4 linked regions of the Macaca mulatta genome follow. The protein of the gene in region 4 interacts with the protein of the main gene of each other region in a biochemical or structural test. Links are inferred from orthologs where the notes say so. Each region holds a gene or a part of one and is shown on either strand. Other genes may lie near its edges.

Region 1 (5,093 bases), on a different chromosome or scaffold from region 4:
TTGCACAGGAACTATACCAAAAAGTCGTTTAGTGTATACTTTTCCAACATAGAGGCCCCTTTATGTGCTCTAAATTTTGTATGCCTTTTACATACCCTAAATTAGATAGTAATACAGATGAGGTCAGATAAATTAAGGTGTCATTGGAGTGAGGAAAAAGAAGAATGCTTAATATAGTTGATTCCACCATTAACATGGAGTTTCTGACCTGGCTTCCTTTAGTCCTGTCTCATCAGTGTAGCTACTGTTTGTTAACTTGGCACAGAAAGGCAGATCAAATACAGGGGTCTACTTTCATATCCTCCTCTTAATAGTTATTAAAAGCTCAAATTTAGTAGCTGAGTTCAGATCTCTTATTAGATGAATGACTTATTGATGTAATTTCTCTGAGCATCAGCAGAATGAAGGTTTATAGTGCTAACTCATACACTTGTGAGGGTGATAACAATTACAACAATAATAGTAGTAGCTAACACTTTCATAGTGCTTAGTATGCCAGGCAGTGTTCTGAGCACTTTATATATATTAACACATTTAATTTTCTCACAATTGATAATGTGAAGAATAATAATACTCTCATCATGAGAATGCTCGTAGATACTACCACTTAAATTACGAGGAAACTGACGTACAGAAAGGTCAGGTAACTCATTCAGGGTCACATAGTTAATTAAGAGGTAGAGCCATCATGTGAACTTGGGCATCTGGCCTCAGAATGCAAGCTCTTAACTGTTAAGGTTTATTCCCCTCTAACGTGAGAATGTCTATAGAATGCATAGCACATAGGTCCTCAGAAAATTAGAGATAAATTAGCTTTGCAGAATGTGGTGGTTCCATTTCCTCAAGAAATTTGGTCTACCTTTGTGGTACCAGATATATGCATAAATGTGAGGTTCACATTATGATTCTTCAGTTTTTTTTCCCAGTTGCACATTAGTTATGAGATTTTTTTTCCATAGAATTCTTCAGTATTACTCATGTTAAAAAATAATTGTTTGGAAATGAATCACCTTCTGCAAAACAGTATAGTCAAAATGACTTAGACTCTGAAGCTGAAAGACTCCTGGACTCCTATTCTTGTCTTGGTTGTGTACTTTCTTTGAGATCTGGGTTTGGTGATTTGACTCCAGTTCTATTTCTCTCTTTGGCTGTGGACTGAAGATAATCCTCAGTATCATGATACTCAGATAACCTATGTCAAAGTGCCCCGCAGTGTGTGTAATATGTTATCAGGCATCCAACAAATACTGGTTTCTTGTTCACCTCCCTATTACATAAAATAACTTAAAATTAGAACTGAAGGGACTCATAAAGCTGGGAAAACTGAGGCCCAGACAGTTATTTCCCTAGGATCCTACAGCTACTTAGGGACAGAAGGATGACACTTAATGCAGGTCTTCTGATTTTTCAGTCTCATTCTGTTTGTGCTGATCACTCTCCTACTATGTAGTATGTAAAGAAGTACTATGTATCTGACAGGTTTTGGGGAAGTTATTTTAGTATAAAAGCTCACATTAAAAATATCTATCTTAGTATTTTGACTTTTATAATTTTTTTAAAAATCAGAGACAATTTAATATATCTTGGGGCCATTCAAATCATGTATATGAAGTTTTAAAACTGTTGTTTTCCCTTATAGTTATTAATTTTTAATATGCAAGTAGCATCCTTATTATGGAAAGAATAAATAAGAAATCAAAAGATGAAAGAAGTTTTAAAACTAATTTAATCACATCGTCCAGAGAAAATGCTATTAATGCTTTGAAATAACAATGGGTTCATCCTACACCTGCTACCTTGTAACTGACTTTTGTCAGTTAGTGATATATCAGGAAGACTAGGCAGTTCCTTGTCAGATTCAATCTTGATAGGTTTTATTTTATTGTGTGACCTATTATCAGTTCATTTAAGTAATCTTTTATTAAACATGTTGATTTTATTCAGATATGGAAACTGCATTTTTGTAAAATTGTCAAATTGTTTTCCACAAGTAGAATCTCATTCATGTGGTATTCATGTTTTTAAGACTTTCGATACGTATTCACTATTTTCCTCCAGAAAGGAAATACCTGTTTACATTTTCACCAGGGAAGTCACTGTAGTTTGGGAGAACATGACATTATCTCCCTTTCTTTACTGAAGACTAACAATGTATGTTTTAAAGTTTCTGGATTCTCCATTCCCCTTTTATTTTTACATGTTTTCACTTTCATATTTTGCATAGTGATAAATCTGTGATAACAGTTTTTAATTTTCAGGTTGGGTTGTTTATAGCTTCATAGATAACAAAATGTCTCTAAGTCATGTTTATGCAATTTTTACCTGTGCTTTGTGGGTTTTCTTTTTTCTCTGTTTGCATGCAGTGAGTGGTAAATTTGCATGGAACATTTGAAAAAATATAAGCACCAGAATGAATTGAATCTGTGTGAATTGTCACTTTTTGTCACCTACCTGCATAGTTTAGACAGTCAAAGTCTTTCTTTTGAGACAAAATTGGATCTCATTTGTCTCTTCACTTACTTGCTGTCTTGTTACTGAGTTTCTCATGATTAGCAAGATGTAAATTCTCTGCCATTGGTCATTTAGTCCTACATGTTAGTAAGATAATTCTGTGAATTTTTTGAAAATTAGCTGAATTATTTTTCTTATAATTTTGATTCTTCGTAGTTTTTATTTCCATACTTGTGAATTTGGGACCAAAAGGAATAGCTATGACTTACGTTTCTTTGGATCCAGTAGTTTATTCTACTGAAATTATGGTGTTCTCATCATCAGTTAGTAGAAGTACAGACTCTTTAGTGTTGAATATAGAGATAATGTCATCTAACTTCTTACTTGATCACATAATTCCTTCCTCAGTTTTGGTAGCTCTCTTGTAACAGCTGAAATAGGACATTAATCTGTGTACTTTAAGTTCACAGAGTAAAAGGAATATAAGATTTTGAGTGATGCAACTTAAAATACTCCATCTTGTAATGTGGAACTAAGGAGGAGGTTTAGTGACAAGTTTTAGATTTAAGATTATATACTTTGGAGCCTCTTTTTCTTTTTTATTTTCCTTTTTTTTTTTTTTTTTGAGACAAAGTCTAGCTCTTGCCCAGGCTGGAGTGCAGTGGTAGAATTTCGGCTTATGGCAGCCTTGACTTTCAGGCTCAAGTGATCCTCTCACCTCAGCCTCCCAAGTAGCTGGGACTACAGTGCATGCCACCACACCTGGCTAATTTAAAAAAAAATAACACTTTGTAGAGAGTAGCCTCACTAGGTTGCCCAAGCTGGTGTTGACCTCCTGGGCTCAAGTAGTCTGCGTGCCTCAGCCTCCCACAGTTATGGGATTGATTACAGTCATGATCTACCTCACTCAGGCTGCAGCCACTTTCTTTCAGTAGCTTTGGATATTCCACTTACAAATTTATTTTTAAGTCTCCCATGTGGTTGATAATTGGGAAAAATAGTTTTTATTCCAGATAGATATTCTGTGTTAACTGTAAGTCAAATGTTTACAAACTGTTAAAAATGAAATAGTGATTATGTAAAGGAAAACTGGATTTTCCTAATGCTAATTTTTAAAATGATAGAATCCTAAAACTCTTAGCTGTAAACCTGGTGATTTTTCAGCTGTTGTACTAAACAACTTAAGCACATATACCATCAGACGAGCCCCCCTCCCCCCTTTTAAACCAAAGGAGTGTATACTCTGTTAATGCAGTCAGTAAGCATTGACATTCTTTATCATATCCTAGAAAATATTTATTAGCTATTTCACTAGTCAGGGGTTGTTGGTAAATAGTGCATCTCCATTTTCTACTTCTCATCTTCGCACACAGGTTAATCACTTCAGTGCTTGACTAACTTTTGCCTTGATGATCTGTTGGGCTTTGTACATGACAGCTATACTAATCACTGTGCTTATTGTTTGACTGTTTGGTACAGGAAGCGAGCAGCTGCAAAGCATCTAATAGAACGCTACTACCACCAGTTAACTGAGGGCTGTGGAAATGAAGCCTGCACGAATGAGTTTTGTGCTTCCTGTCCAACTTTTCTTCGTATGGATAATAATGCAGCAGCTATTAAAGCCCTCGAGCTTTATAAGATTAATGCAAAACTCTGTGATCCTCATCCCTCCAAGAAAGGAGCAAGCTCAGCTTACCTTGAGAACTCGAAAGGTGCCCCCAACAACTCCTGCTCTGAGATAAAAATGAACAAGAAAGGCACTAGAATTGATTTTAAAGGTAAGATGTTTTATTTTTAATTGAGAATTGTTGGCTGAAAACCATGTGGGAGATTTAAATGTATGAGTTTTTATTTGTTTTTTCTTATGTGACATTAAGACATTTTGATACTGTAGAACCAATTTTTTGTTTTGGTAAAGGACAGGAATAATAACTACATTTTACAGGTTTAATCGTTGCTAATTAGAAGCAGATCATATGCCAAAAGTTCATTTGTTAATAGATGGATTTGAACTTTTTAAAATTCTTAGGAAAAAAAGTATTAATTGATAGTTAATCTCCAAAACTAGGCCACAACATCTATTTAAGTTATAGAATAACTGGACTCAGTATCTGGCATGAGTTCTGGAACCTCAGGATGATGTGATGAAAGAAGTAGGAAGAGGAAGCAGTGGGTTTTTTTCCATTTTAGAAGGCAAGACAAAATTTTGTGATAGTTATGTGAGAATTCTACATTTCCTTCAAATATATGCTTCTCACTCTCCTCACAAACATTTGGTACAGTCATGCTGCCAAGGGTGGTGACCTACCAATGACAATCTTCACTCAGGTCTTTTGTTTTTTAAATGGTCCTGTGTCCAAAATTCAGGATTCGATTACCTTGTCGCTAATACTAAAACTCCAAGTTATTTTCCTCAGTGAATGTAATTAGTAACACGGTAATCAAATTTTTGAATGACTGCCAGGGCTTAGCGCCCCTGCACCCCCACCCCCATACACACGCAGAGGCAATTGTATTTTAAGAGAGAAAGCTTTTTGTTTATGACGTGTAAGTGACAGAATTTTAGAGGCATTTGCCTCTAAAACTTTCAGTAACATCATCTGAATCAAGTTTGAAAGAATTAATGAAGTGGCATTGTGTTA
Region 2 (5,861 bases), on a different chromosome or scaffold from region 4:
ACTGTACCCAAACAACAAAACCAAATGTCTTAGAATGAGAGAGAAATAAAGCTACTTCTCTATGAAGAAACCAAAACTTCTAATAATGAGACCTAATCAGGCATATGAGTTTCAGAAAGTAGAAAAAGAAAGGTGCCATTTTTATGGATCAGGTTTCTAAGTTTCTTCAGGCTCTTTATGTAGGGGGGGAAAAATTCATTCAAAACAGGTAACACTTAAGTTTTAAATTCCCAAAGAAGTGTTCTTTTAATATTCTTCAAGCAAATTCTGTCAAATAATTTATTAGCTTTCTAAATGCAGGTGTTCATGGGGGAAAAAAAAAAAAGATTCAAGTGGATCCAGCTGTAATTTTTACCGATGGCTGGAACAGTGGAGAAGTACAATTTAGTCACATGTTCCAGGTGAATGTTCACAATATTAATGAATATAAAAGTTTGAAGTTCCACCTGGAATTGCTAAGAATCACAAATTATGAATGTATAAATAATAAAATACGCTGGGCAAGGTGGCTCACACCTGTAATCCCAGCACTTTGGGAGGCCGAGGCAGGCGGATCACAAAGTCAGGAGTTCGAGACTAGTCTGGCCAACATGGTGAAACCCCGTCTCCACTAACACAAAAATTAGCCGGGTGTGGTGTCCTGCGCCTGTAATCCCAGCTACTCGGGAGGCTGGGGCCGGAGAATCTCTTGCACCCGGGAGGCGGAGCTCGCAGTGAGCCGAGACCGCCCCACTGCACTCTAGCTTGGGCAACAAGGGCGAAACTCCATCTCAAAAGAATAAATAAAAATTAAAATAAAAAATACAATTTAAAATATCTCTTGGGCAAGACTGAAGAAAGAACGTATCAGTAAACAATTTTTTTTTTTTTTTTTGAGATGGAGTCTCGCTGTGGCCTGGCTGGAGGGCAGTGGGGCAATCTTGGCTCACTGCAATCTCCGCCTCCTCAGCTACCCTAGTAGCTGGGATTACAGGCATACGTCACCACACTCAGCTTTTTGTATTTTCAGTAGAGACGGGGTTTCACCATGTTGGCCAGGATGGTATCGATCTCTTGACCTCGTGATCTGCCTGCCTCGGCCTCCCAAAGTGCTGGGATTACAGGCGTGAGCCACCGCATTCGGCCATCAGCAAACAATTTTTTAAAAATCTCACAAATGAAGAGTCGTATATTCTTTTTGTTTGTTTGTTTTTGAGACGGAGTCTTGCTCTGCTGCCCAGGCTGGAGTGCAGTGGCACAATCTCAATTCACTGCAACCCGAGCCTCCCGAGTAGTTGGGATTACAGGCGCGCACCACCACACCCAGCTAATTTTTGTATTTTTAGTAGAGATGGGGTTTCATCATGTTGGCCAGGCTGGTCTTGCACTCCTGACCTCAAGTGATCTGTCCTCCTCAGCCCCACAACATGCTGGGATTACAGGCCCTAGCCACCGCACCCGACTTACATTCTTAACAAACAAACAAACAAACAAACAAACAAAAATCTACTCAACTGATACTGGCTTGCAGAACATCATAAAGGAAAAATGGTAACTCACCATTATCAATATAATTTTTTCAGTGTTTGAAAATAAAATCATTTTCCCAATCTTTATAGAAAACCTCCCTTTACCGCATCTTCTTAAGTTTCTTGTAAATGACAAATTGCTAATGTGGTCTTTTAAAGAGAAGCAATACAACAAAGCACGTTTTGGAAAAGTGACTAGGATACAGAAAAATAAGACAGTGCTTCTGGTGCCAATCAGTATTTGTTCCTAACCAGAAGGTTTGTACGTGTCGATCACAATGCAATCATACAGTGACAGACAAGTATTTTTAAAACAAACTTGTTCGTCTTTTGCACCACCTAAAATAACTGTTTGGGGCTTTACTTTTAAATCAGGAAATGAGCCATAAATGTAAAATATTTCAATAGGCAGCAATCAAAAGTATCTTCTACTAAACCTTCAGAAGGCAGACGCCAGCTGAGGTTAGAATTATAACTTGGGATGATATTACAAACTTAAATAGGTCATACCGCATGTCCTTTAAAAATTCTTTTAATTTTTAATGTGTCAATGATTTTTCTGCTGTCCTCTTTTCCCAACAGGCGAAGAAAAAATACAGCTTGTGGCTTAAACTGGCAATCTCAAGACGGGGGTTACCTACTGCATGAGAGAGAAATAATGGATACTTTAAAGTCTATTTTTAGAAGTAGTATTAAATCTCTCATTAAAGTTCACGAAGAAATTCGTGGGAAATATGGTAGGGGGAGTGGGACAGGGTGAGGGGAGATCCAGATAACTCAAACGCGGTTGGCAAGGTTGCACCCCGCGAAATGATGTAAAACAAGAGTACATCGGCTGATAATTCGTTTCAACGAAGTGTTTCAGAATGATAGACCTCGAGTAATGATTACCTTATTGAAAAGGGTTAAAACCGAAACTGTTTTCAAACGCCAGCTTCCCTTTTATAAGATCCCAACAGTTTAAAAAGTTATTATGTTTTTCTTAGCACCCTCTTTCTCCCAAAAAGCATGCATTTCCATGACTACTGACTTTAAAAAAAAAAAAAAAAAAAAAAAAGCAAGGGGGTGAAGGAGTAAAAAATTTCCCCCCAAAACACAAGCTCTCATCTCTCAACTAAGCAGCACAGGGCAGAAAGCAGCATTTCCTCAACGGTGTGGGAGCGGAGGGGAAAGGGCATGAATAAAATACAGCACGAGAGGAAACCTTGGGTTTCGAACTTTATTGCACAAAGAGTGGAGAGAAGAGTAGGTCAGACGTTGCAGCTCTTCCCCTTGCGAAGCGGGCATGGCAGACACCGAGGCCACTGGGAAGGCAGCAGGCACCTTCACCTCCTCTGCCCTCAACTGTCGCCTTCTTCCTCCTCCACCCCCCACCGGCACCTAGGCGGCGGCTGCCCCGGAGGCCAGGCCGGGTCGGGCCGGGGGCGAGGCGGGCGGCGGGGGCCGGACGAGCGAGCGGCGCGGGGGGCAGCGCCGGGCCGAGCGGGCGGCCTCCCCCGGGGCGGCTCCGGGCTCCCGGCTCCGCGCCCGGCCCGGCGGCGGCGGCGGGAACGCGGGCGCCAGCTCGCCGCGGCCGGCCGCCCGCACACACCCCCGGCCGCCGGCTCCCACCCCGCCCGCCGCCCGCCGCCCGCCGCCCCCCGCCATGAGCGCCGCCGCTGGCTGCAGGCAGAGTCGCTGCCGCCCCGGCCGCCGCTGGCTCCAGTCCGCCGCCATTATTCTTTGTTCGCTGCGAGCGGCGGCGATGTTGTGGGGCTCGGGCGGAGGCTCCATCTTTACCGCGGCCCCTCCTGCGAGGGGAAGGCCCCAAGCGCGGGTGTCCGGCGCCTCCCCGTCCCCCCTCCGTCCCCCCGGCTCTCTCTGGCTCCTGCCTCCTCCTCCTGCTCCTCTTACCGGTGGTACAAGCTCCTCCGTCACTGCTTTCGTTCACGGCCCGGATCTCGCTGGAGTTTTATTCTCTCCCCCACGTAACACACCGCGTCAAACTACACCTCCGCCGCGTCACTCACCAACACTCCGCTTCTCCCAGCCGCCCGGGCCACAGGCAGCAGCAGCCGCCGCCGACTGAGGAGCCGCAGCCAGGGAGCCAGCCAGCGCCGCCCAGTGCCGAGTGCGCAGCGGCCGCGCACGGAAACAGCCGAGCTGGGCCCGGAGCAGCTCGAGCGGCCCCGCCCCCGCGCTGGGGACGGAACTTGCCGAAGGCCTTCGGGTTTCTTCGCGCGAGGCGGACGGGTTCCGCCGGGAGAGGGAAGGCGAAGGCGGGCTGAGCCCGGCGCCGGGAGGAGTGGTCTAAACCCCAGCGCGGCGTTCGGATCGATAAAGCTGGCGGCGGAAATTTGAAGGAGGAAGCGGGGTTTGTGTGTGGCCCAGTAGGGGAATTCCTGAGGGGTGTCGGCGACTTGGTGGAAACCCCCACGCAGGCCTGCCTCTGTGGCGGTGAGCGGCGGGCTAAGAAGGCGGCTGCGGCTGCCCCGGCTCTGGTCTTGACCGCCGCGAGCCCCGGGAACTTTCCGACGCCGCCGGGAGACGGGGGACCGCGGGAGCCGTACGGGTTGGGGAGGAAGGTCTGCTGCGCCTCTGCCAACGTCCCGGCGCCTGGGACCCGGGGACGTCGTGGGACCCCCGTGGGGACGGGTTTTCCTTTCTGAGACTCCGCAGAGAAACCTGGCGGCCGCCGGCGGAGCATGCTTTTCTGAGGGGCTTTGGCCCCGGTACTGTGGCACCTCCCGGGGCTCTGCCCGGGCCGTCGCTCTGCCCCGGCCGTGGCTGACGTCGACGGCCCTCGGAGGCCTCCGAGCCACAACCTGCCGGGACCGCTGGAAATATGCCCCATCCCACCTGCCCGCCCTTCTCCAGACAACATCCTGTGTGGCTTGCTTTCTTCAGCCTGTTTTCTACAGCAGGGATTCGCACCCACTGCACCCTAAACCCAGCAGGGGGACTTCCGTGGCTGGAAACTACTGAACTGCTCTCTCAGAGGTCGCCCAGGACCACACCACTAGGTCCCCACTCTCCCTGATAGTGAACTCTGCGCCCCTCTCCCTGGGGTTTCAAGTCTTTTTTTTTTTTTTTTTTTTTTTTGAGACGGAGTCTAGGTCTTGTCGCCCAGGCTGGAGTGCGGTGGCACGATCTCGGCTCACTGCAGCTTCTGCCTCAGCCTCCCAAGTAGCTGGGATAACAGGCACCTGCCACCACACTTGGCTGATTTTTGTGTTTTTAGTAGAGATGGGGTTTCATCATGTTGGCCAGGCTGGTCTGGAACTCCTGACCTCAGGTGATCCACCCGCCTTGGCCTCCTAAAGTGGTATGGTTACACGCGTCAGCCAGCGCGCCTGGCCTCAAGTCTTAATCATTATTTTTCTGTCCTTTAAAGGAGACGTGTCTTTAGGAAGCAGAGAGTGTTCAAATCTGGACTCCGCCCATTACTCACTTCTCTTGTAAGGAACTGTCCTTCCTGGTACTCCAGGTACCCTACTATTTTCTCATAGACTTTGCCCTTAACAAGTCTCCTTTCCTTCTGTTACTCTCAACGTTTCCTTCTCTACTGGCTCTTTCTTACTAGTATTTAAACATGCTTAAGTCTCTCAATTCTTTAAAAAGATTTCTCTTCTCCCTAAATTGCTCTGCAACAACTCCAGCTGTCTCTTACCCCTGGACAGTCTCTCACATCCCACCTCCCAGCCCTCTCCAGTGTCCCCACTGCTCACCTGGAGTGGTTCTGAATTGTCCACAGACAAGCTTCATGTCTGTAAATGCAGCGGATCGTTTTCAGTCCTCATTTTACAAGCCCTCATCCCAGTATTTGACATGTTTGACCACACTCTCTTCCAAATACCGTCTTCCCTCTGGTCTTATGTCACAGGTTTCCTCTCTACCTGAGTTTTCTCTTTAACAACCAGCCTCTCCTTCTTGATCTACCTCTTACACATTGGAATCATGCTGAGCTGAATGAACCCTGGCCTTCTTACTGAGTCTCCCCATACACTTTCCTAGGTGGTCTTATGCTCTCCCAGTAGCATCAAATACCTTCTGTCAAAGACTCTTCAATCCATAACCCAAGCCTAGGTCTTGCTCTGGAACCCTATATTCATAGTTCCAACATACTGCCTTTGGTACACTTTTCATTTGGATGACTTAGGGCATTTCAAACTCAGCCTGTGTATCATAATTCCTTCGAAATGCTCCTCCCATAGTCCCTGGTTCAGTAAAGGGTATCTTAACATCTACTCAGTTCATGCAAGAAACCTAACACACCTCCAACACACAGCAGAATCACCTACATGTGTCTGTTTCCTGGAAAATTGGATTTGTGACCTCTCTGTTCCCATGACCATTTTTTCATTCCCATTTTAG
Region 3 (5,612 bases), on a different chromosome or scaffold from region 4:
AGCTGAGATCCGGCCACTGCACTCCAGTCTGGGCGACAAAGCGAGACTCTGTCTCAACAAAAAAATAAAAATTAAAAAAAAAATAAATAAATAGGCCGGGCGCGGTGGCTCAAGCCTGTAATCCCAGCACTTTGGGAGGCCGAGGCGGGCGGATCACGAGGTCAGGAGATCGAGACCATCCTGGCTAACACGGTGAAACCCCGTCTCTACTAAAAATACAAAAAACTAGCCGGGCGTGGTGGCGGGCGCCTGTAGTCCCAGCTACTGGGGAGGCTGAGGCAGGAGAATGGCGTGAACCCGGGAGGCGGAGCTTGCAGTGAGCTGAGATCCGGCCACTGCACTCCAGCCTGGGCGGCAGAGCGAGACTCCATCTCAAAATAAATAAATAAATAAATAAATAAATAAATAAATAAATAAATCCAGAGGCCAGCTACTTCTCACCACCTCCCTGGTGACTCTCTGAATGTCTAAATCTGACCATGCTGCCTCTGTTCAAAGCCTTTCCAGGTTTTCACCCAAAGGCAAAGTCAGAGTCCTTACAATGACCTCCAACTTTAGGTCTCCAAAGACCCTTTCCTAACCCCCTCCTCTAGGCCCACCCTAGCTGGGAGCAGGTGTTGCCCTCAGGGCCTTAGCACCTGCCCTTCCCTCTGCCTGGAACTCTCTTCCCATCATCCCTGTGGCCTTGGTTCCAGTGGTGCTTCTCACCAAGTGAGTGTTGACCACCTCTGCTACCATCACTCCCCCAGCCCCGTGACTCTGGATTCTCTTAACTCTTTTTTTTTTTTTTTTTTGAGACGGAGTCTCACTCTGTTGCCAGGCTGGAGTGCAGTGGTGTGATCTTGGCTCACTGCAACCTCCGCCTCCCGGGTTCAAGTGATTCTCCTGCCTCAGCCTCCTGAGTAGCTGGGACTATAGGTGCATGCCACCATGCTTGGCTAATTTTTGTATTTTTAGTAGAGATGGGGTTTCACCATGTTGGCCAGGCTGGTCTCCATGTCTTGACCTTGTGATCCGCTTGCCTCAGCCTCCCAAAGTGTTGAAATTACAGGTGTAAGCCTCCGTGCCCAGCTTCTTTTAACTCTTACATGCTGCCCCCATACAAATCTTCTCATCCATGATAGGATGCACTTTTGTGCTTGTTTGCTTATGGACCCACCACGTCACTAGAACGTAAGCTCCACGAGGGCAAGGATTCCTGATGCTTGGGTTCACCGAGGTCCCCCTAGCAACTGGAACAACCTGTGTCACATGGTGAACACTCACTCTGAGACACAAGTCAATGCTGAGTGTGTGTGGCGGGGGGCAGAAAGCAGGGGGAGTTTGTGAGCAGAAAAACAGCCAAGTGCAAGCTCAGAAAGTTAAAGAAAGCTGTGGAGGCCGAGCATGGTGGCTCACGCCAGTAATCCCAACACTCTGGGAGGCCAAGATGAGAGGATCGCTTGGGCCCAGGAATTCGAGACCAGGCTGGGCAACAAAGCAAGACCCCACCTCTACAAAAAATAAAAAATGAGCTGGTGTGGCAGCATGTACCTGTGGTCCCAGCTGTTCTGGAGGCTGAGGCAGGAGGATTGTTTGAGCCCAGGAGTTTGAGACCTGCCTGGGCAACAAAAGGAGACCCGCCCCTGCCCTCGTCTCTAATGAAAACATGAAAAATGTCGGGCGTGGTGGCTCACGCCTGTAATTCCAACACCTTGGGAGGCCGAGGCGGGCGGATCACAAGGTCAGGAGATAGAGACCACCCTGGCTAACATGGTGAAACCCTATGTCTACTAAAAATACAAAAAATTAGCCGGGCATGGTGACACATGCCTGTAGTCCCAGCTACCTGAAAGACTGAGGCAGGAGAATTGCTGGAACCCAGGAGGCGGAGGTTGCAGTGAGCTGAGATTGCACCACTGCACTCCAGCCTGGGTGGCAGAGTGAGACTCTGTCTCAGAAAAAAAAAAAAAAGAAAAAGTTAAAAATAAATTAACTAGGTGTAGTCCACACACCTGTATTCCCAGTTACTTGGGAGGGTAAGGTGGGAGGATCGCTTAAGCCCAGAAGTTCTAGGCTGCAGTGAGCTGAGGTCACACCTCTGTACTCCACACCTCTGTACTCCCTCCTAGGTGATAGAGCGAGACCCTGTCTCAAAACAAACAAAACAACAACAACAAAAAAAGAAAGCAAGCTATGGGATCCAATCTGAGAGAATTGAGTGTGTGTGTTTGTGCGTAAGAGAGGGAGGGGAGGCCTCTTAAGCCTTCTTAATCCTGAAAATGGGAAGGAGGTCGTTTAAGCTTCAGTGCCAGAGTGACATGACCTAGTTTTCTATTTTTAGAGATGGGGTCTGGCTATGTTGCCCAGGTTGGTCTTGAATTCCTGGGCTCAAGCCAGCCTCCTGAGCTGCTGGGACTACAGACATGGGCCACCCCACCTGGCTTGACCTGGTTTTTGTGTTCAGAAGATATATGTTGTTGTTCCAGGTGCCAAGGCCAGTGCTGGGCACAGGGGTGGTGGAGCCTACTGAGAAATGGACACTGAACCCCAGTGTCTATCCTTCCATCTTGGAGCCTGTGCTTCCCACCCCACACAGCCCTGCTGTCTGGGAGGACCGTCTGCCCCTTGAGGTCACCTGCCCCTGGCCTTTGTGCCAGGACAGGCCTGCTGTGGGCGCAAGCCTCGGGGCAAGAAAGAACACATCTGGGAGCTGGAAGGCCCAATCCCAGGGAAAGCATGTAGCCTGGGGCAGGGCACCAAGGAGTCTTCCAGCCCCCACCTTCTAAGGAAAGAAATGCCAGGCAGGTATGGCCTTAGGTAGGCCCCTTTTCCTTTTCGGATCACTGCCTGCCTGCCTGTCACTAATTTCTGTCCTGGCCCCACACTAATAGCTGCCATATATATATATACATATTTTAAGAGATGGAGTCTCCCTAAGTCACCCAGGCTGGCTTTGAACTTCTGGGCTCAAGCGATCCTCCTGCCTTGGCCTCCCAAAGTGCTGGGATTACAGGTGTGATCCGTCATGCCTGGCAGCTACCATTTTTTAGCTTTAATGTGCACCAGCTCTGTAATCAAGTGCATCCTATATGTTCCTGCTAATTAACTCAACAGTCCTACAATGGTGGTTATTAATTGCTCTGTTTTACAAAAGAGGAAACTGGGGCTCTGAGAGGTTAGGGACCGACCCAAAGCCTTCAGTGCCCGTGGATACAACTGGGATGCAGGGAGCCAGTGGGCTGGGGGTGAGGTGACCCGGCAGGTGGAGGTGGTGGGGTACTTACCTCCATGATGGCTGCTGCTGGTTGGCTGCTCCTGCTGGTGACTGGCGTCCCACAGGAGGCCTGGGGCCTGGCGATGATGCTTGCCGGAGTCTGAGGGCCTGTCCCCCGCGGGGCTGGGGCCCAGGCCCCTCTCTGCAGAGCTGGAGTCTTCCTGCTCACTAGGCTCAAACTCTGGGATCTGGAACATGCTCTGGGCTATGAGGACAAGATGTTAGGTAGTCAAGGCACAGCTGGGGCCAACGGTGGCCCTGGAAGGCAGAGGTAGGTACCCTTGGCTCCCTCTCCCACCCTAGGGCCCCCAGGCCCGCCAGGCCTCCCGGGCCCTCATTTGTCTGCTGGGTCTGGCCTGGCAGGGAGCTGATGCTGTCGGCTCAGGGCCTCAATCTCCCCTCAGAACCCTGGTGGACCCAGGCCCCTACCCAGGCCCCGCCCCGCCCGTGGTGACGGCGCACAGGTCTCACCCCAAGCCCGATCTCGAGGCCCCTGACCCGGGCCTGCCGCCTCCCTCCTGCACCCCGGGCTCCCGGCCCTAGTTGCTTGGGCAACGGGAACTGTCAGCGACCTGGCCCAATCACCTCTCGGAACGTCACTCGGGTAGGTCCAGAGGCGGGGTCAACCCGGCCCGGCCCCGCCCCCCCGCCGGACCTACGGCTACTCGCCCGCAGCCTTTTTTCTCCCTCCTGCAGCCCTGGTGCTCACATCCTCGCTGCCTCACACCTTGGACGTGTGTGGGAGCAGGAGAGGGATTCTCTGGGGTCCCCATTTGGAACCTGGAGACCCACTTCTGCCAACAAGTCCTTCAGCCCCTCTGGACCTTAGTTTCCCCCCAGTGAAGTGGGGATAGTGACAGCTCCCCCAGGAGCCAGTGAAAACTTTGTGAAGGGAGTGATTACTGCGGGCGAAGGCGCTTGGCACAGCCACAACTGAAGCTCAGCCGTCGGATGCGATTATTGTTGCTATTGTTACCGCTCCGCCTGGACTGGGTGCCCGGTCGGAAAGTCCCGCTCCCCGCTCCTCCTCCCAGGCGTGGAAGCTTCGCGCCGCCCGCCTCGGGGGACACCTCCCGCGCCACCTCGGGGGCACTGGAGATAAGGAGAGGAACCTCCTCCCTGGCTGGGATGGCTGCCCGGGCGCGGGAGGAGGGCCGGGGACCCGGTGAGGGTGGACCGTAGGGTCCGTGGGGGCTTCAGGCCTGGCAGGCGGCCGGCCAGGTGAGCAGGGCCGCGGGCGCGCCGGGGCGGGGGGCGGGCCCGCGCTGGGGATTCGGGGCTCCGCGGGTTCAGGCCCGGGGGCGGGGCCCGGGGGCCATCTTGGCTATGGGCGGAAGTTTTCTTCAGAGGCCGAGGGACGGGAATCCGTTGCCGCCCCCGGCTGGGTGGTACGACCCCGATTTGGGTATAGGAGAGAGGAGCGTGGGAATTGCCGGCCCCCCATACAAGTTAAGGCGGACCGCCCAGGCACAGCCCACCCGGGGACCCCCTGGATGCGGCACGGCCCCCGCAATTCGGCCGCCCTCCAGCCGCCTCCCGTAACCCCGGGCGCCCGCCAGCGGCGCAGCTCGCGCCAATTCTCGTACGGTTTCACGCCGGGTGCGGCGCTGGACTGCGGAGCCGGTCGGGCCCCTGCGCAATTTGCGTAGCGAACAGCGCCCGCGCAGGCGCAGGAGGGGGCGGAGCAGCGGGAGCCGGGGAGCCGGAGCCCCGGGTCCCCACGACCTGAGCCGGCTCTCCCATCAGCGGCCTGAGGACCTGGCATCCGCCTCCTCCCGCCCCTTGAGGCTGGAGAGTGGACGCGGTGGGGGGGGTGGGGCGGGGGGCAGCTTTCGAGAATTACAAGGACAGAAGGCAGAGGCCCTCCCCATCCGCATTACTGGAGGAGAGCCTCCCCCAGCTTGGGGAGGGGGAGAGCGGGGCATTGGGCGCCCCCTGCAGCGGCCGCTGCCCTGACCCGACGGGCATCGGCTGGCTCTCCCCCTCCAGCCAGGACGACACGAGCGACCGAGGCCAGGGACTCCGCTCCTTGGGCCTCTGCATCCCCCCATCCCTGACTCTGGGGTAGGCCCAGGGAGGAGACACCCCCAACCCCCACCCGGTCTGCCCTGGAGAGAAGAGACTGCCCTTCCATGCCCCTGAGTGAGGGGCCTGGGGCCCAGGCTGCCCGTGTTCCCCAAGGGCAAGGGTCTCTCTGTTGAGGAGGAGGGGCCTGTCAGCCACAACTTCTTTCCTCCTCAGCGCCCCATCTCCCTCTCTGCACCCTGCAATTCCCACCCCTCCGTATTTATTACCCTGGCCCTGCCGACAGCCCCTCCTTCTCTGTCTCCGGGATTCAGGCCTCCCTCCCTGACAT
Region 4 (5,601 bases):
TTCACGCCATTCTCCTGCCTTAGCCTCCCGAGTAGCTGGGACTACAGGCGCCCGCCACCACGCCCGGCTACCTTTTTTGTATTTTTAGTAGAGATGGGGTTTCACTGTGTTAGCCAGGATGGTCTCGATCTCCTGACCGCGTGATCTGCCTGCCTCGGCCTCCCAAAGTGCTGGGATTACAGGTGTAAACCACCGCGCCAGGCCTGAATTAGCTTTTTCAACTTCCCTCCTTTTTCTCCTCTTTCCAGGAAAAATTTACCCTCAGAGTTGAGACCTGTTGTAAGCATCCAATGGACACTGGATTTTAAAGACACTTCAGTACAGAAAAAAAGGAAATATTTCCGAAGTCATGAAGGACTGGGAAAAAAACAAAAGGAATGTAAAATGTTTCATTAATGATATTTTCACATTGATAATATATGGAAACGGTAATACTGTAGATATACTGGCTTAATTAAAACATATCATTAGGCTGGGCGCGGTGGCTCACATCTGTAATCTCAGCACTTTGGGAGGCCGAGGCGGGCAGACCACCTGAGGTCAGGAGTTTGAGACCAACCTGACCAACATGGTGAAACCCCGTCTCTACTAAAAATACAAAACTTAGCCAGGCGTGGTGGCGGCGTCTGCAATCTCAGCTACTTGGGAAGCTGAGGCAGGAGAATCACTTGAACCTGGGAGGTGGAGATTGCAGTGAGCTGAGATCACACCACTGGGCGACAAGAGTGAGACTCTGTCTCAAAAAAAAAAAAAAAAAACAAAAGCCCCAAACATGTCATTAAAATGAATTTCATGAATGTCATCTGCTTCTTTCACTTTCTTTTTTAATTACAATTTTTTTAAAAACATTTTTATTTATTTATTTTTTTGAGACGGAGTCTCGCTCTGTCACCCAGGCTGAAGTGCAGTGGCCGGATCTCAGCTCACTGCAAGCTCCGCCTCCTGGGTTCACACCATTCTCCTGTCTCAGCCTCCCGAGTAGCTGGGACTACAGGCGCCCGCCACCTTGCCTGGCTAGTTTTTTTTTTTTTGTATTTTTTAGTAGAGACGGGGTTTCACCGTGTTAGCCAGGATGGTCTCGATCTCCTGACCTCGTGATCCACCCGTCTCGGCCTCCCAAAGTGCTGGGATTACAGGCTTGAGCCACCGTGCCTGGCCACAATTTTTTTTTTTTAAGAGATGAGGTCTGGCTGTGTTGTCCAGGCTGGAGTTGAACTCCTAGGTCCAAGTAATCCTCCTGCCTCAGCCCCTCTGGTAGCTAGGACTATAGGCATGCGCCACCATGCTTGGCTCTTTTTACTGTTTATGATGGAGCAAAGAGAAAATTTAAAATCGATTCTGTGGCTTGGGTTACATTTCTGTTGGTTACATTGCTGCTTTATAGCAGTGCCCGGTATAAAGTTGGATCACAAAAATATTTACGGGAAGAAAGTCCACGTAAACACCGCTTTCCCCAAGAATGCTCCTGGCCTCCTCCCTTTGGACTGGTGTCTGACCCTGTGTCACAGTGCCCAGCTTTGAATGCATGGCCGGCCTGGAGAGGGAGCTTTGGGAAGGCAGCACAGGGCCCTTTCGACCCTTGGAGCTGGCACATTATGGGGGCTCGGGGAATAGTGGGTGAGCCTGGCGTGGAAGCTCATGTCCGTAATCCCTGCGCTTTGGGAGCCTGAAGTAGATCACTTGAGGCCAGGAGTTCAAGACCAGCCTGGGCAACACAGCAAGAGGCCCCCTGCCTTTGAAAAAAAAAAAAAAAAAAAATTAGCCAGGCATGGTAGTGTGTGCTTGTAGTCCCAGCTACTCGGGAGGAGCTCAAGAGTTTGAGGCTACAGTGAGCTATGATCACGTCACTGCACTCCTGCTTGGGCAACAGAGCAGGATCCTGTCTCCCCGCAAAAAAGCAAGTGGCCAGGCGCGGTGGCTCACACCTATAATCCCAGCACTTTGGGAGGCTGAGGCAGGTGTATCACCTGAGGTCAGGAATTCGAGACCATCCTGGCCAACATGGTGAAAACTCATCTCTACTAAAATTACAAAAATTAGCTGGGTGTGGTGGCGGGTGCCTGTAATCCCAGCTACTCGGGATGCTGAGGCAGGAGAATCGCTTGAACCAGGGAGGTGGGGGTTGCAGTGAGCCGAGGTCGCGCCACTATACTCCAGCCTGAGCAACAAAGCAAGACTCTGACTCGAAAAAGCAAAGCAAGTGAGTGAACGGGTGGATAGGACACTCCAAGGAGTGGGCACAGTCCAGGCAAAGGCGAGGACGGGCCACCTCACCTTCTGTTTGTCGAGGATCTTCATGGCATAGTGGTTCCCGGTCTCCTTGTGTTTCACCAGCATCACCCGCCCGAAGGAGCCCGTGCCGAGGGTCTTGATTCGTTCAAACTGATCCAAGTGGGCTGTGTTCTGTGGGCAGAGGGGTCGGCAGGCTCAGGGTGCATCCTCCCCGCGGCCTGCTGGGCTAAGGTCTGAGGCATCCCCTCTGCCACCGGCAGAGGGGGCCCCGGGGAGCACGTAGGGTCAGCGGGGTTGAGGACGGGGGCGGAAAATCAAGATGGCAGAGGGCGCATTCCTTAAGGCGGGTGGCAGGGGCCAGATCCGGCCCTGGCCTGGGGCCTGGGAGCTGCTGGCAGCTGTGCTAGGGGCAGGGGCGGGCTGTTGGAAGGGGTGGTGGGATGGGGGTGCCTGGCATTGGGCAGTCAGGTGTCTCCACACAGGAGCCCCCATGGGTACCTAGGGAGTGAATGGGGAGGGTCTGAAGCCTTCCACGGGGTTTCTGAAATTCTAGCTGTGTTGCTGGGACGCAGCTGGGGGCTGGGGGTCACCAGCTCACCCCTCCCCGGACTCTGTACCCGGTGGCCTTACCTGAGCGGGACTTTCCCATTTTTTAAGAAAATCTTCTTTGGCTTTGGCTAAGAATTCTTTCACTGAAAGGGAGACAGGGGAGGGTTAGACAGAGACCTCCATTTCACCGGGGCGGGTTCAGGTGATTTCTGGGGAGATACTTGGTAGAAATTGGGGTGCAGTTCCCTCAACCTAGAGCCTGACCTTTTTATGGTGCCTCTGGGGGCCCTGGCCGGGCCGTGGCCTGGGCCTCCCTTGCTACAGAGAGGTGGGATCCAGCTGCTACTCCATCCAAAGTGGGGTACAGAGAGTCTCAGGGGTCACCCCCAGGGGAACGGAGGGAGGCACCCAGGCAGGCCAGCCCACCCCCACTCGCCCCAGTTCTGACCGACATTCCACGGCCAGGGCCGACGCCAGCCGAGGTATTTATAGCCTTGGGATTTGGCTGTTCCTCTGGCCCCTTCTCTGGGGAGGCTGGGCCTGGGATGGAGGCCTCGGGGGCTCGGGTAGCAGGCGCCCTTGGGGGGCTCAGCTGTCACCTTGGCCCCCAGCTGGCCCTGTTCCTCTCGTGTCGATCGCAAGGGCATTGCTCCAGAGCTGGTTCAAGGGAAGTTTCGCCCGATGCCCACTCCTCGGCCCCACGGCATCCCAAGGCGAACATCACCGCCTGGCTAACGTTGAAACTTCCCCGGCAGACCCTGTGCCGGCTGCTGTCTACACTGTCTCATCTGACTCGCTCGGCAACCTGCCTTGTATCCATTGTGTCCGTTTAACAACCCAGAAAACAGGCTTGAAAACAGTCATTCTTATCTCTGCTGAGACGCAGCCCAGCAAAGTGGCTAAGGGCCAGGACTTGGGGACAAGATCCAGTTCAGAGCCCAGCCTGGTCTCCGATGAACTCTGTAACTTTGGGCAACTGATCTCACCTCTCAAGGCCTCAGTTTTCCTCATCTGTAAAGTGGGGTGGTTTTTTTGGGGTTTTTTTTTTGAGACGGAGTCTCGCTCTGTCGCCCAGGCTGGAGTGCAGTGGCGCGATCTGGGCTCACTGCAAGCTCCGCCTCCTGGGTTCCTGCCATTCTCCTGCCTCAGCCTCCCAAGTAGCTGAGACTACAGGTGCCCGCCACCTCAACCGGCTAGTTTATTTTTTTGTATTTTTTTAAGTAGAGACGGGGTTTCACCGTGTTAGCCAGGATGGTCTCAATCTCCTGACCTCATGATCCGCCCGTCTCGGCCTCCCAAAGTGCTGGGATTACAGGCTTGAGCCACCGCGCCCGGCCTGTGGGGTGGTTTTAAGGAATGAATGAGTTCATTTTGGCAAAGGGAGTTGAACAGTGGCCCATGTGATGTTAGTGCCAGATAAATGTCAGCTACTATTATTTTTTATTTATTTTTAAAATTATTATTATTATTATTATTGAGATGGAGTCCCACTCTATTGCCAGGCTGGAGTGCGGTGGCACGATCTCAGATCACTGCAACCTCCACCTCCCAGGTTCAGATGGTTCTCCTGCCTCAGCCTCCTGAGTAGCTGGGATTACAGGCACCTGCTACCACGCCCAGCTAATTTTGGTATTTTTAGTAGAGACGGGTTTCACCATGTTGGCCAGGCTGGTCTTGAACTCCTGACCTCAGGTGACCTGCCTGCCTTGGCCTCCCAAAGTGCTGGGATTATAGGCATGAGTCACTGCACCCAGCCTATTATTTTTTAAATTGAGGTATAAAATATGGGGAAGGGCCGAGGTGGGCGGATCACGAGGTCAGGAGATCGAGACCATCCTGGCTAACACGATGAAATCCCATCTCTACTAAAAATATTAGCCAGGTGTGGTGGCGGATGCCTGTAGTCCCAGCTACTCGGGAGGCTGAGGCAGGAGAATGGCGTGAACCCGGGAGGCGGAGCTTGCAGTGAACCGAGATCGCACCACTGCACTCCAGCCTGGGAGACAGAGCTAGACTCTGTCTCAAGAAAAAAAAGAAAAAAAAAAAAAAAAACATATGGGGAGAGAGGCTGGGTGCAGTGGCTGACGTCTATAATTCCAGCACTCTGGGAGGCTGAGGTGGGCGGATCACGAGGTCAGGAGTTCGAGACCAGCCTGGCCAACATGGCGAAACCCCATCTCTACTAAAAATAAAAAAATTAGGCCGGGCACGGTGGCTCACGCCTGTAATCCCAGAACTTTGGGAGGCCGAGGCGGGTGGATCACTTGAGGTCAGGAGTTCAAGACCAGCCTGGCCAACATGGTGAAACCCTGTTTCTACTAAAAGTACAAAAAAATTAGCCAAGCATGGTGGCTGCAGAATCGCTTAGACCCGGGAGGCAGAGGTTGCAGTGAGCTGAGATCATGCCATTGCACTGCAGCCTAGGCAAGACTAGAGCGAGACTCTGTCTCTAAAACAAAACAAAACAAAAAAATTAGCCGGGCATGGTGGTGTGTGCCTATAATCCTAGCTACTTGGGAGGCTGAGGCAGGAGAATTGCTTGAACCTGGGAGGCAGAGGTTACAGTGAGCCGAGATCATACCACTGCACTCCAGCCTGGGTGACAGAGCAAGACTCTGTCTAAGAAAAAAAAAAAAGAAAAGAAAAAATAAAATAAAATATGGGGAGAGACTGGCCATGGTGGCTCACGTCTATAATCCCAGCGCTTTGGGAGGCTGAGGTGGGCAGATCACTTGAGGTCAGGAGTTTGAAACCAGCCTGGCCAACATGGTGAAATCCTGTCTTTACTAAAAATACAAAACTTAGCTGGGCACGGTGGTG

Evidence for each region.
Region 1: the proteins of PRKACA (region 4) and UBE3A form a complex in vitro, tested with the Homo sapiens proteins (2 studies listed by BioGRID, with this or other methods). The link is inferred for Macaca mulatta from reciprocal best matches to the Homo sapiens genes PRKACA and UBE3A.
Region 2: the proteins of PRKACA (region 4) and CREB1 form a complex in vitro, tested with the Homo sapiens proteins (2 studies listed by BioGRID, with this or other methods). The link is inferred for Macaca mulatta from reciprocal best matches to the Homo sapiens genes PRKACA and CREB1.
Region 3: the proteins of PRKACA (region 4) and BAD form a complex in vitro, tested with the Homo sapiens proteins (2 studies listed by BioGRID, with this or other methods). The link is inferred for Macaca mulatta from reciprocal best matches to the Homo sapiens genes PRKACA and BAD.

What each region holds. Positions count from the first base shown.
Region 1 is NC_133412.1:4,570,051-4,575,143, forward strand, and holds part of UBE3A (ubiquitin-protein ligase E3A), read left to right. Parts: intron 1-3,930; coding exon 3,931-4,229; intron 4,230-5,093. UniProt on the Homo sapiens protein: E3 ubiquitin-protein ligase which accepts ubiquitin from an E2 ubiquitin-conjugating enzyme in the form of a thioester and transfers it to its substrates.
Region 2 is NC_133417.1:112,791,964-112,797,824, reverse strand, and holds the start of CREB1 (cyclic AMP-responsive element-binding protein 1), read right to left. Parts: upstream 3,455-5,861; 5' UTR 3,402-3,454; intron 1-3,401.
Region 3 is NC_133419.1:10,113,147-10,118,758, reverse strand, and holds the start of BAD (bcl2-associated agonist of cell death), read right to left. Parts: upstream 3,786-5,612; 5' UTR 3,728-3,785; intron 3,462-3,727; 5' UTR 3,454-3,461; coding exon 3,267-3,453; coding exon of another isoform or gene 3,263-3,266; intron 1-3,262. Other genes in the region: integral membrane protein GPR137, read left to right, coding at 5,596-5,612. UniProt on the Homo sapiens protein: Promotes cell death. Successfully competes for the binding to Bcl-X(L), Bcl-2 and Bcl-W, thereby affecting the level of heterodimerization of these proteins with BAX. Can reverse the death repressor activity of Bcl-X(L), but not that of Bcl-2.
Region 4 is NC_133424.1:14,692,275-14,697,875, forward strand, and holds the start of PRKACA (cAMP-dependent protein kinase catalytic subunit alpha), read right to left. Parts: upstream 3,540-5,601; 5' UTR 3,429-3,539; coding exon 3,230-3,428; exon of another isoform or gene 3,046-3,229; intron 2,925-3,045; coding exon 2,863-2,924; intron 2,404-2,862; coding exon 2,275-2,403; intron 1-2,274.